2 linked regions of the Tribolium castaneum genome follow. The main gene of each other region encodes a partner of the protein of the gene in region 2 in a complex. Links are inferred from orthologs where the notes say so. Each region holds a gene or a part of one and is shown on either strand. Other genes may lie near its edges.

Region 1 (4,261 bases), on a different chromosome or scaffold from region 2:
AGTTGCAGATGTTTGAAGTGTAAACGATCATAAGCTCGAAATTCACTTCTTGCTCATTATTCTTAAATATTCGAGTGCATTCAAAGCAGCCGCTGATTGCGCTTCCTTCGGTGTCGCTCCGGCACCGTAACACACCGCTACCGGTAATGTAGAAAGCTGTACTAAGCACTGACTTTTGCCAGATAGTGCTTTCTCCTCTATATCGACATAAGTTACTTCAAATTGTTGCTCGGACGCAATTTCATGCAAAAACTGAATGAAGTTGAAGTCTTTGCTGTTGAGAACTATGTTCTGGAAACGATTTATACAAATGTAAAAACGATACAATTTTCGCATTTTTGCTAAATCAAGTAGTTTACCTGCAACTCCTTTAGCTTCGGCCCATTGGACTGCTTGAGGGCTTTGTGAAACTGTGACACCTTTTGGGTGTGTTGTATGTTGAGTGTCGGTATTTTACTATCTTTCAGACCACTGTAGCGTCCTTGTAAGTTACACATTTTCGCCGCCAACTACAAAATACGTCATTGAATTGAGACAGATTTGCTCGGGATTATTTTTACGAATTTTATTCATTTCAATTTTGTACAGCGCGCTCTGAAAGATCGTAAAAATACCTCAGCAAGATCCAATTTTTTATTAACAATAAGCAAACACAAAAAGCATCCATGTCTGAAGAAGGAAAGCCAAACGAAAAAACTAAACTAAATCAACAGAAACGTCTTACCTCTTCATCGTCGTCGTAACCTTGCGGCAGATTATTGCCCTCTAGAGGCATATCTTGCAGGGCCTGCCACATTTTGTGTGCTGCCATTCTTTTAGCTAATTTTTTTGACTTGCCAGTACCGACTTCTTTGAATTTTAACACTTGACAAGCTATCGTGAACTGGCGTTCGTGTGGAAGACCTTCCTCATGTTCCATCTCATAGGACGGTGGAGGCCATCTCCGAGACATGCACATCTCCTGGAGCCAACCGATAGGGTTCCCCATAACTTTATCATCAAACGGAGACACCACTTGAGCTGTACTGAATACAATATTTCAAATGTTAGACGTTGCGATTTATTGGCCGTACGGATACCTAAAAATTAGGATACGACACGACGTACAAATAAATTCTCCTTTCGTTTTCTTTAACAGCAGTAAATTTAATTTGGCAGTATTTATATAACGCAAAAAAAATGGGAGTTTACGTAAAATACGTAAAGAAATTTTCAAATTTTACGTAAATAAATTTTTTTGCAAATATTTGCTTTGATTTACATAATAACCGTATAAGTATATTAATTATTGCGATTTAAATTTGCGTTTTTTGTTAAAGAATAAATTTTGTCAAATAATGAAACATTAGGAAAAATACAAACTGTATCGACAACAAGAAAGAAATTTTCTTAAATGAGACAAGTTTTCATTTAACAAATCGGCCAATATGTGGAACAAATCAACAGAAAAAGGACAATAACTCTATTAAAAAATTCCAACTTTTTCATTAACGTTTTTTTATAAAGATTTTTGTTAAATAGTAAGTAAGCTAAATCGATCAAAATCAGCCAAAGAAAATGTAAATTTAAAAACATACTCTTGTGATGTTCTTCAATGAGTTCATAAAATTCTCTTACAATATGCGACTTTTCTTTGCAAAGTCATGTGTATGTGTGTGTGTGTGTATGTGTGTGATTTGTAAGTTCATCAAAATATAGCCTTATTTTCGTATCAATTTTAAACTAAACCTCAAGTAGTTCACAGACTAATCTAACTATATTTCATAAACTTCTCGAAAATAGTAAAATGTGCAACAATAAAGGAAAGAATATGTTTTTTAGCTCCATTTTATGTTTGATTGAATCACCAGCAATAGATATCCAAAAAAAAAATTGAAATTCGTTTCGCCTCCTAATATTTAGTTTTCCGTAGTTATATGCTGATTTATTTACATATCGTTGGCTCCGGGAGTCCCGTTAGAAGCGTTGGCTTGTTCTGGACTCTGTTTGCCGACCAAAACATCAAGCAGATTCTTCGCAGCAGCGTGTTTGGCGTCTTTTTTCGACCTCCCTGTTCCAGTAGCAACCAAATCGTTATTAATAAACACCCTGTAGCGGAATATAGGTTCGTGAATAGCCCCCTCGATTTGGACTAGTTCGTACTTAGGCGTCGCCCCACGACGACTTAATAACTCCTGAAGTACTGAAACAGGAGTTTTGGTCGGCAACGACGCCATCTCCTAAAACTCAGTTAGTATCAAAAAAAAATTATAATAATAATTAGAAAAATCGCACCAATTTAGCCTCTTCGCTCAGAGACAAGCGTTCAGCCTGCATTCCGTGTAAAGTATTTCTGTTGTTTTTCCTCCTAGGATGGACGTTGTGTATTTGACTTGAGGAATGCAGAAGCGTCATATTTGGGTCCATGCGAAATTGCTGAAAAGAAAAATCGTTGCAAGGTTTGACAATTGGAAAACTGGCGCGAATAAAAAACCGACCATCACCACGAGAATAAAGGCATAACAAATCCTCGATTTTTTTAAATTTCTTTACCTGTTCAACTGGCGGAGGTACAAACATCTCGCCGCTTGTCGGCCCTTAATTTCCGCTTCCCGTACTGAAGAAAACGAGCAAATTATATTCCATTCGCCCTACACAACTCAAAGATTTTAAATCAACAACACAAAAGAAAAGAGAGAGAAACTGGTAACGGTTTCAACAAAGCGACCCCTTCGCATTCACACCCCTAAAGCAACGGTCAAAATTTTTAACTAAAACTATTAGTTTCGGTACTTAAAATACAAATTTACTCCAAATTTTTTTGTTATTATAATTTTTGTAAAAAGAGCCGGTAAAGAAGGTTCATAAATATTCCACTAACAACCCATAATTCGCAATAGACAACACAACTCTATTGTAGCAAAATTATATGTAAAACAGTAAAATTACTTACAATTATTTAGAATTTTTTATTACACTTTGAAATACAATCGTCGCTATAAACACTGTAATGGCGACGTTTTTTGATGGACACAAACGTCAAATGGTTAAACAGTTCGCATGCGAAGAAGTAACATTCTACAGTAGCGCCACTTAGCGGGAATTCGTTGCTACCAACTTTTGTTCTTTTTAGAAATCCATAAACGACGAAAAATGTGGTTACCAACATGAATTTTGGTCATTTCACTATTTTTTAATATTTGCAAGATAATAATAATAAATTTGATCCAAAAACAATAATTTTTACTTTTTACTGATGTATTTTATTTACAATTACACATCTCTTAACATCCTCTTGTCAAAGTAATCACAAATCGCCCAATTTTCCGCTTGAAAACTATTTAAAAATGTGTAATTTTAAAATTGTCATATTCTTAGCCTATTTACGACCAACTAGACTGTAAAAAAATCACACAAGATCCTCATTTCTGACCAAGATGCGTTTACGAACGCTTGTTTTGGTATTTGTATTTTTGTTAACATTCTCTCCAAGCTCTGAAATTATCTTCGACAGTTTCATTGCTACAAATGGTAAGAAAACTTAATAAAAAAGTTACTGTATACTATTGTGTAATTCTTCTAATTTAAAATTTTAGAAATGGAAGGAGCGCGTAAAAAGAAAAAAGGAGGTGGCAGCAAATACACTGTACCACTTCTTTTCGGAGCTTTAATGATCAAATCTATTATTTTTCCGTTAGCTTTTAAAACTATGGCCGTAATGTCAAGCATTGCAATACTTTTAAGTACTATGAGTTTAATTATGTCATCAATCGTGGGATACATCAGAATGGGACTTAAGTCTGCCCCTGTTAAAGTTGTTCATAAACAACCACCATCGCCCTTCAATAATTGGGCCAAAGATGATGATGGTAAAAATTATTACACACTCGGAGATAATTATAATTATGATTTGGTGGCACCACCACCCAGATAAGTAAAAAATATGTTATGTAACATTTATTTAACCCAAATAAAATGTTTTAATAACAATCACTTTTTCCCTTCTGATTATTAAAATGTACTGCTTCTCTGTTGTATTGTATGGCTATAACTGGTAATTGTTTGGAAGCTACTGATTTCTAGGAAACGTGAAACGTCAGACTTGACGTTTTTAGGTTATTCCTTTTAACCTCGCATTTTTTTGTTAAATATAAAAAAATGACTAAAAACTATTTCTTTATAATAAAAAATGACTAAGTAAACGCGTGACTGAACGTAGTAATTATAAATTAAACTTTATCAGTGTCAAATTTATAAATCGCTGGATTTTATCAAAGAAGTG
Region 2 (4,301 bases):
GTTAATTTTTATCTGTGTTTTATTAACCATTTCGTTTTTTTTTTATTTTTCCACATATTAGTATCGACTTTGCAGTCAATTGTGATTTGGCACAAGCATGGCTCTTCTTAGGAAACTAGTGCCTTACTCTATGAGAACTCATAGCAATAAAAAACTGTCAAATAAAAAAAAAATCATTTCTAATAGCAATTAAAATGTGTTGAATAAAGTTGTGTATAAACATTAATAAATTGTGAACGGTGTCTTTAAATGCCAGATTCATTGCTGACGACTAAACATATTTCGACTATTCTACACATTAACGGATCAAGAAAAAAAAATGTACATAGTTTCCCCATCTAAGAATTCTACTTTGAAGACACAGAATTAAAGCAAAGTCAAGCCGCAGAAAAAACACTTTTATTTTTTGAAATTCGAGAACTTCAAAATACGAGTGTGCTAAAAAGCTTATTTAAGCAGTTAGGCACGCTTTCTATCTACCAAAAAAAGTGTTTATCACTCATTACCACATAATAAAATATAAGTACAACAACTTTTCTATAAAAGCATTTTGCAAAAGTATTCATTATTTTTACTATTTCCCTCCTTTCCTGTAATAATTGATTCGCCTTTTGGGGGCCATTCTGAACACTGTAATGAATTTTTAAAGATAAAGTTTGCGAAATCGGGAAATTTTAAAGAATCTTTAAAAATTCATTAAAGTTCCAAGGGGTACTTTATGATTTTTTTACAGTCGAAGGCCCTATCGAAGAGCTTAATTTCCTGCAAAAATAAAGAAAATTGCAGGATATAAAGTGGGTGAAGAAAATAAAGTTTGCAAAATAGAGGAACTTTATAAAAATTAAAAAAAATTGTTAAGGTCCCAAGGGTGTTTGTCCGAACATGATTTTTTTACAGTCTCCTGCAAAATAATCTCCTGTAAAAATAAGGAAAATTACATAATATAAAGTAGATGAAAAAAAAAGTTTGCGACATCGGAAAATCTTTAAGAATCTTTAAAAATCCATTTTTACAGTCGAAGGCCCTATCGAAGGACTCTTCTTTTACAAAGATAAAGAAAATTGCAGAATATAAAGGGGGTGAAAAAAAATCAGTTTGCATTGCTTGAATATGAGAATAAAAAATGCAGAAATTAAATACAGTTAAGTTTTAATTTGTAATAGAAACACATTATAATGGTCAGGAGATTTTCTACAAATGTGATATGCAAGTCAGCGTAACAGCTTATTGATGTTTTTATAATGATTTACGATTATTTTGATAAATTTTCTGGTGTGAATTGGCTGCAGAAAACGAGAATGGTGGGGAAATAAATTGTCTGGTCGACTGTAATATTGATGGTGCCAGCACCATTTTTGAACCATGCTCTTCACCGACATTCAATTTTTTTGGAGTGATTGTCAAAACGCTGTCAACTGTCAAAACCCGCTCGGTCTGTGTGGTGTTGTTTGAATCTAAACTGGTATTTTTGTGATAATTTGTATATTCCAAGTGAGAAAAGATGTATCCCGTTGGTGGTGAGACGTCTCTAAGTTAGTTCAATCATAATCAGCAATAATAGCAACGAAAAATGCTTAGATAAGTCCTCCGTTGTGTACAGCACCCCTACATGGCTTGTTATTTAAACGAAAATGTTTACACGCACACGTTTACCCCACGAGAGTATCAAGTGGAGCTGCTGGACAGCGCTAAGAAGCGTAATACAATCGTATGTTCGAGTGCGAGTTCGGCGAAAGCGTTTATAACAATAAAACTGCTGCAAGAGTTCTCCCACAAGATGCGGGTGCCCCACGGAAAGCAGGCTTTATTCGTGCTGGACGGCCCGAACGTCCCGATAATGACGTCGCACGTGAAGCTGCTGACCGATCTGACCGTTACGAGCATAGATAAAGAGGAAAACCCCCCGTCGTTGAAGGCAAGCAATGTGATTGTGACCACAGCCGAAGTCTGTGTGCTTCTATGTAAGAAGAACTTCGTTCATTTGGACAGTTACGCTCTAATCGTGATAGACTGCTTATACGGGGGGCAACAGTCGTTAGTTAGGGAAATTATGGCCCGGTATCAGGCGATTCAAGCGCCCAGACCTCGAATTTTGGGCCTGACTGCCGGTCTTTTGGGCTCCGAGATGCAACCCGATCGTCTAGAAGCCGAATTACAACGCTTAGAAAAATTACTTAGTTCCTCGGTAGACACTTCTAGTGAAATTCTCACGCTGATACGCTTATCTTGTCGGCCGCGCGAACGCATAGTCGAGTGCTTTAAACCCATTCCAAGCCCTTTGCAGGACAAAATCAAGGCCACTATAACCTCCTGTCAGGATTTCCTCAAGGACCACCGCTACGATCCGAGCGAAATCTACGACGATGACTTGCTCGAGGAATTCAAGCAAGTCCCAGACCCCAAGGAACAGCCTTTGAGCTTCTTCGACGACTTCCTCGAAATTCTGGACGATTTGGGGCCCTGGTCGGCCGACAGAGCCGCCTATGGCATGCTTATCAAGATCGAGAAGCTCAAAGTCAAAGTTCCTTACGAAAGACATTATTTATTGTTATGCGTTGCTTCATCAGTATTAGTTTCGATAAGGGCTCTCTGCGAACTCGAATTCCAAGACTACACAGATAAGGAAAAGGTGTTTCGTTTCTCAACGCCGAAAGTACTCAGATTTCTCCAAGTTCTAAAGCAGTTTAAACCGACCGGTGATAAGCCGGAAACTTGCGACAAACTACCAGACCTCAAAGACCCCAAGAAGGGAAAAGGGAAAAACTACAAAGGGCCCCGAAGGCCGTACATCTCGCGCGCGCAAAGCGACGAGATGCTCTGCGCACTCGTTTTCGTCAAAAATCGCTACAAGGCGGAGGCCCTCTTCGCCCTACTGTGTGTAAGTAAAGCAGACGTGTTCCTGTAAGGCTAAGGGGTTGCCCTAAAGTGCCATCGTGTTTTAATGCTGCCTGTCGCAAGGTTTTGCCACAGAACTAACACTAAAATCATAAATTGAAGAAGTACGTTTATTTTGTAACTTATGATCTGTTTAAAAACTACTTTAAAGCCCTTGATGTTTAACACAAAATTAAAACAGGAAAAATATCTGACAACTAATTGTTTGGACTAAAAAAAGGAAAAACTTTCTAGTAGTTCGTGATTTATTTTTTTTGGGGGTTTAATGAGGTCACGACTTCCCACTGGCATACTTTTAATGATCTGTCACAGAATTTTAGCGTTTTTTGTTGCAAATGTGTTCTATTTTATTTTTTAAATCTTTCACCACTGTGGAAGATTTTTAAGATAATTTTTCATTTTGTGCCAAAAAGACACAAGACATATTTAAATCAGGCCTGTTTGCTGACCAAGACATAACATTAATGTGAGAATTACCGAATCATTAGGTATTTCAAATGTTTTGCTGTGTGACAAGAAGCATAATTTTTTTGTATAATTTTTCAGTCGGTGGTAATAAATGTTTTTGCAAAATATATTTGATGGTGTTCATGAACTCAAACCCACACCGTTTACAAACATGTATCATACCATTAGCAAATTTAAGCGTACTTTTGAGACAGTCTTTGTGAAAGATCTCTTGGTTATTTATTACTCGTTTTTGAGAATTGAGAATTTCAGCAGTGAGTAATGTTTTTTTTTCTTGTTAATGATAGTCAATTTTGGTGTTAAATTTCTTAGCGTTTATATATTTAGTTGCCAAGCTCAAGTGGATATATTTACAAAAAACACTAGAGTATTTAGAGAACTGCATAAGTTTGAAGTGATTTTATTTTTCCTTTAAACGTGAAGCATTTACTTCTCTCACTTTTGCTAAGAAATTCTTTTCTTTTGAAAAGAAGAAGCAACGCAAGTCTAGTTTATCTTTAATAGTCTAATGCTATTTTTGTTTATATTTATCTGCTTGACTTCATGGTTTGAACTCGAGCTTCTATTCTTTGGGCAAAATCTTGCGATACTAAGCTGGTCCCCTCAGCCTTAGAAATTGATGGTTTGCCCGCTGATTGTTTGCATTGTGTCAGGTGATGTCAAAGAGCGACGAGGAGTATTGGTGGGTGTCGGTTTCGTTCTCCGTGAATAAGATCGCAGATCCGGTGCGCGAGCCTCGGGAGGCGGAATCCGAGCATAAAAGGCAGGAGGAAGTTTTGCGGAAGTACAGAAGTCACGAATGCAATATAATGATAGCAACGTCGGCGTTAGAACAAGGCTGTGATCTTCCTAAATGTAATTTAGTGATACGTTTCGATTTACCTCAGTCGTTCCATAGCTACATTCATAGTAAAGCGCGAGCGCGCGCAAACGAAGCT

Evidence for each region.
Region 1: the proteins of Dcr-1 (region 2) and RISC-loading complex subunit tarbp2 are in contact, whole or in part, in a cryo-EM structure (PDB 8DGJ), measured with the Drosophila melanogaster proteins. The link is inferred for Tribolium castaneum from reciprocal best matches to the Drosophila melanogaster genes Dcr-1 and loqs. Residues at the interface, in NP_524453.1 of Drosophila melanogaster: His245, Phe248, Asp251, His252, Arg253, Asp255, Glu258, Ile259, His303, Tyr306, Gln307, Glu310, Lys311, Lys313, Arg320, Leu323, Cys326, Leu327, Ser329, Thr330, Ile333, Gln334, Tyr336, Ser337, Leu338, Glu340, His341; in NP_609646.1 of Drosophila melanogaster: Thr358, Gln359, His360, Ser361, Lys363, Val364, Phe367, His368, Lys372, Ile414, Glu415, Glu416, Lys417, Thr418, Phe419, Gln422, Gln424, Pro433, Val434, Gly435, Val436, His438, Ser440, Asn454, Tyr458, Ile461, Met462, Lys464, Lys465.

What each region holds. Positions count from the first base shown.
Region 1 is NC_087395.1:26,693,603-26,697,863, reverse strand, and holds the start of RISC-loading complex subunit tarbp2, read right to left. Parts: upstream 3,078-4,261; 5' UTR 2,933-3,077; intron 2,639-2,932; exon of another isoform or gene 2,631-2,638; 5' UTR 2,560-2,630; coding exon 2,533-2,559; intron 2,416-2,532; coding exon 2,275-2,415; intron 2,220-2,274; coding exon 1,933-2,219; intron 1,026-1,932; coding exon 725-1,025; intron 510-724; coding exon 360-509; intron 292-359; coding exon 43-291; 3' UTR 1-42.
Region 2 is NC_087403.1:8,547,341-8,551,641, reverse strand, and holds the start of Dcr-1 (endoribonuclease Dcr-1), read left to right. Parts: upstream 1-1,393; 5' UTR 1,394-1,517; intron 1,518-1,578; 5' UTR 1,579-1,609; coding exon 1,610-2,878; intron 2,879-4,016; coding exon 4,017-4,301. UniProt on the Drosophila melanogaster protein: Endoribonuclease which functions in microRNA- (miRNA) gene silencing and, independently of its ribonuclease III activity, also acts in the short interfering RNA- (siRNA) gene silencing pathway.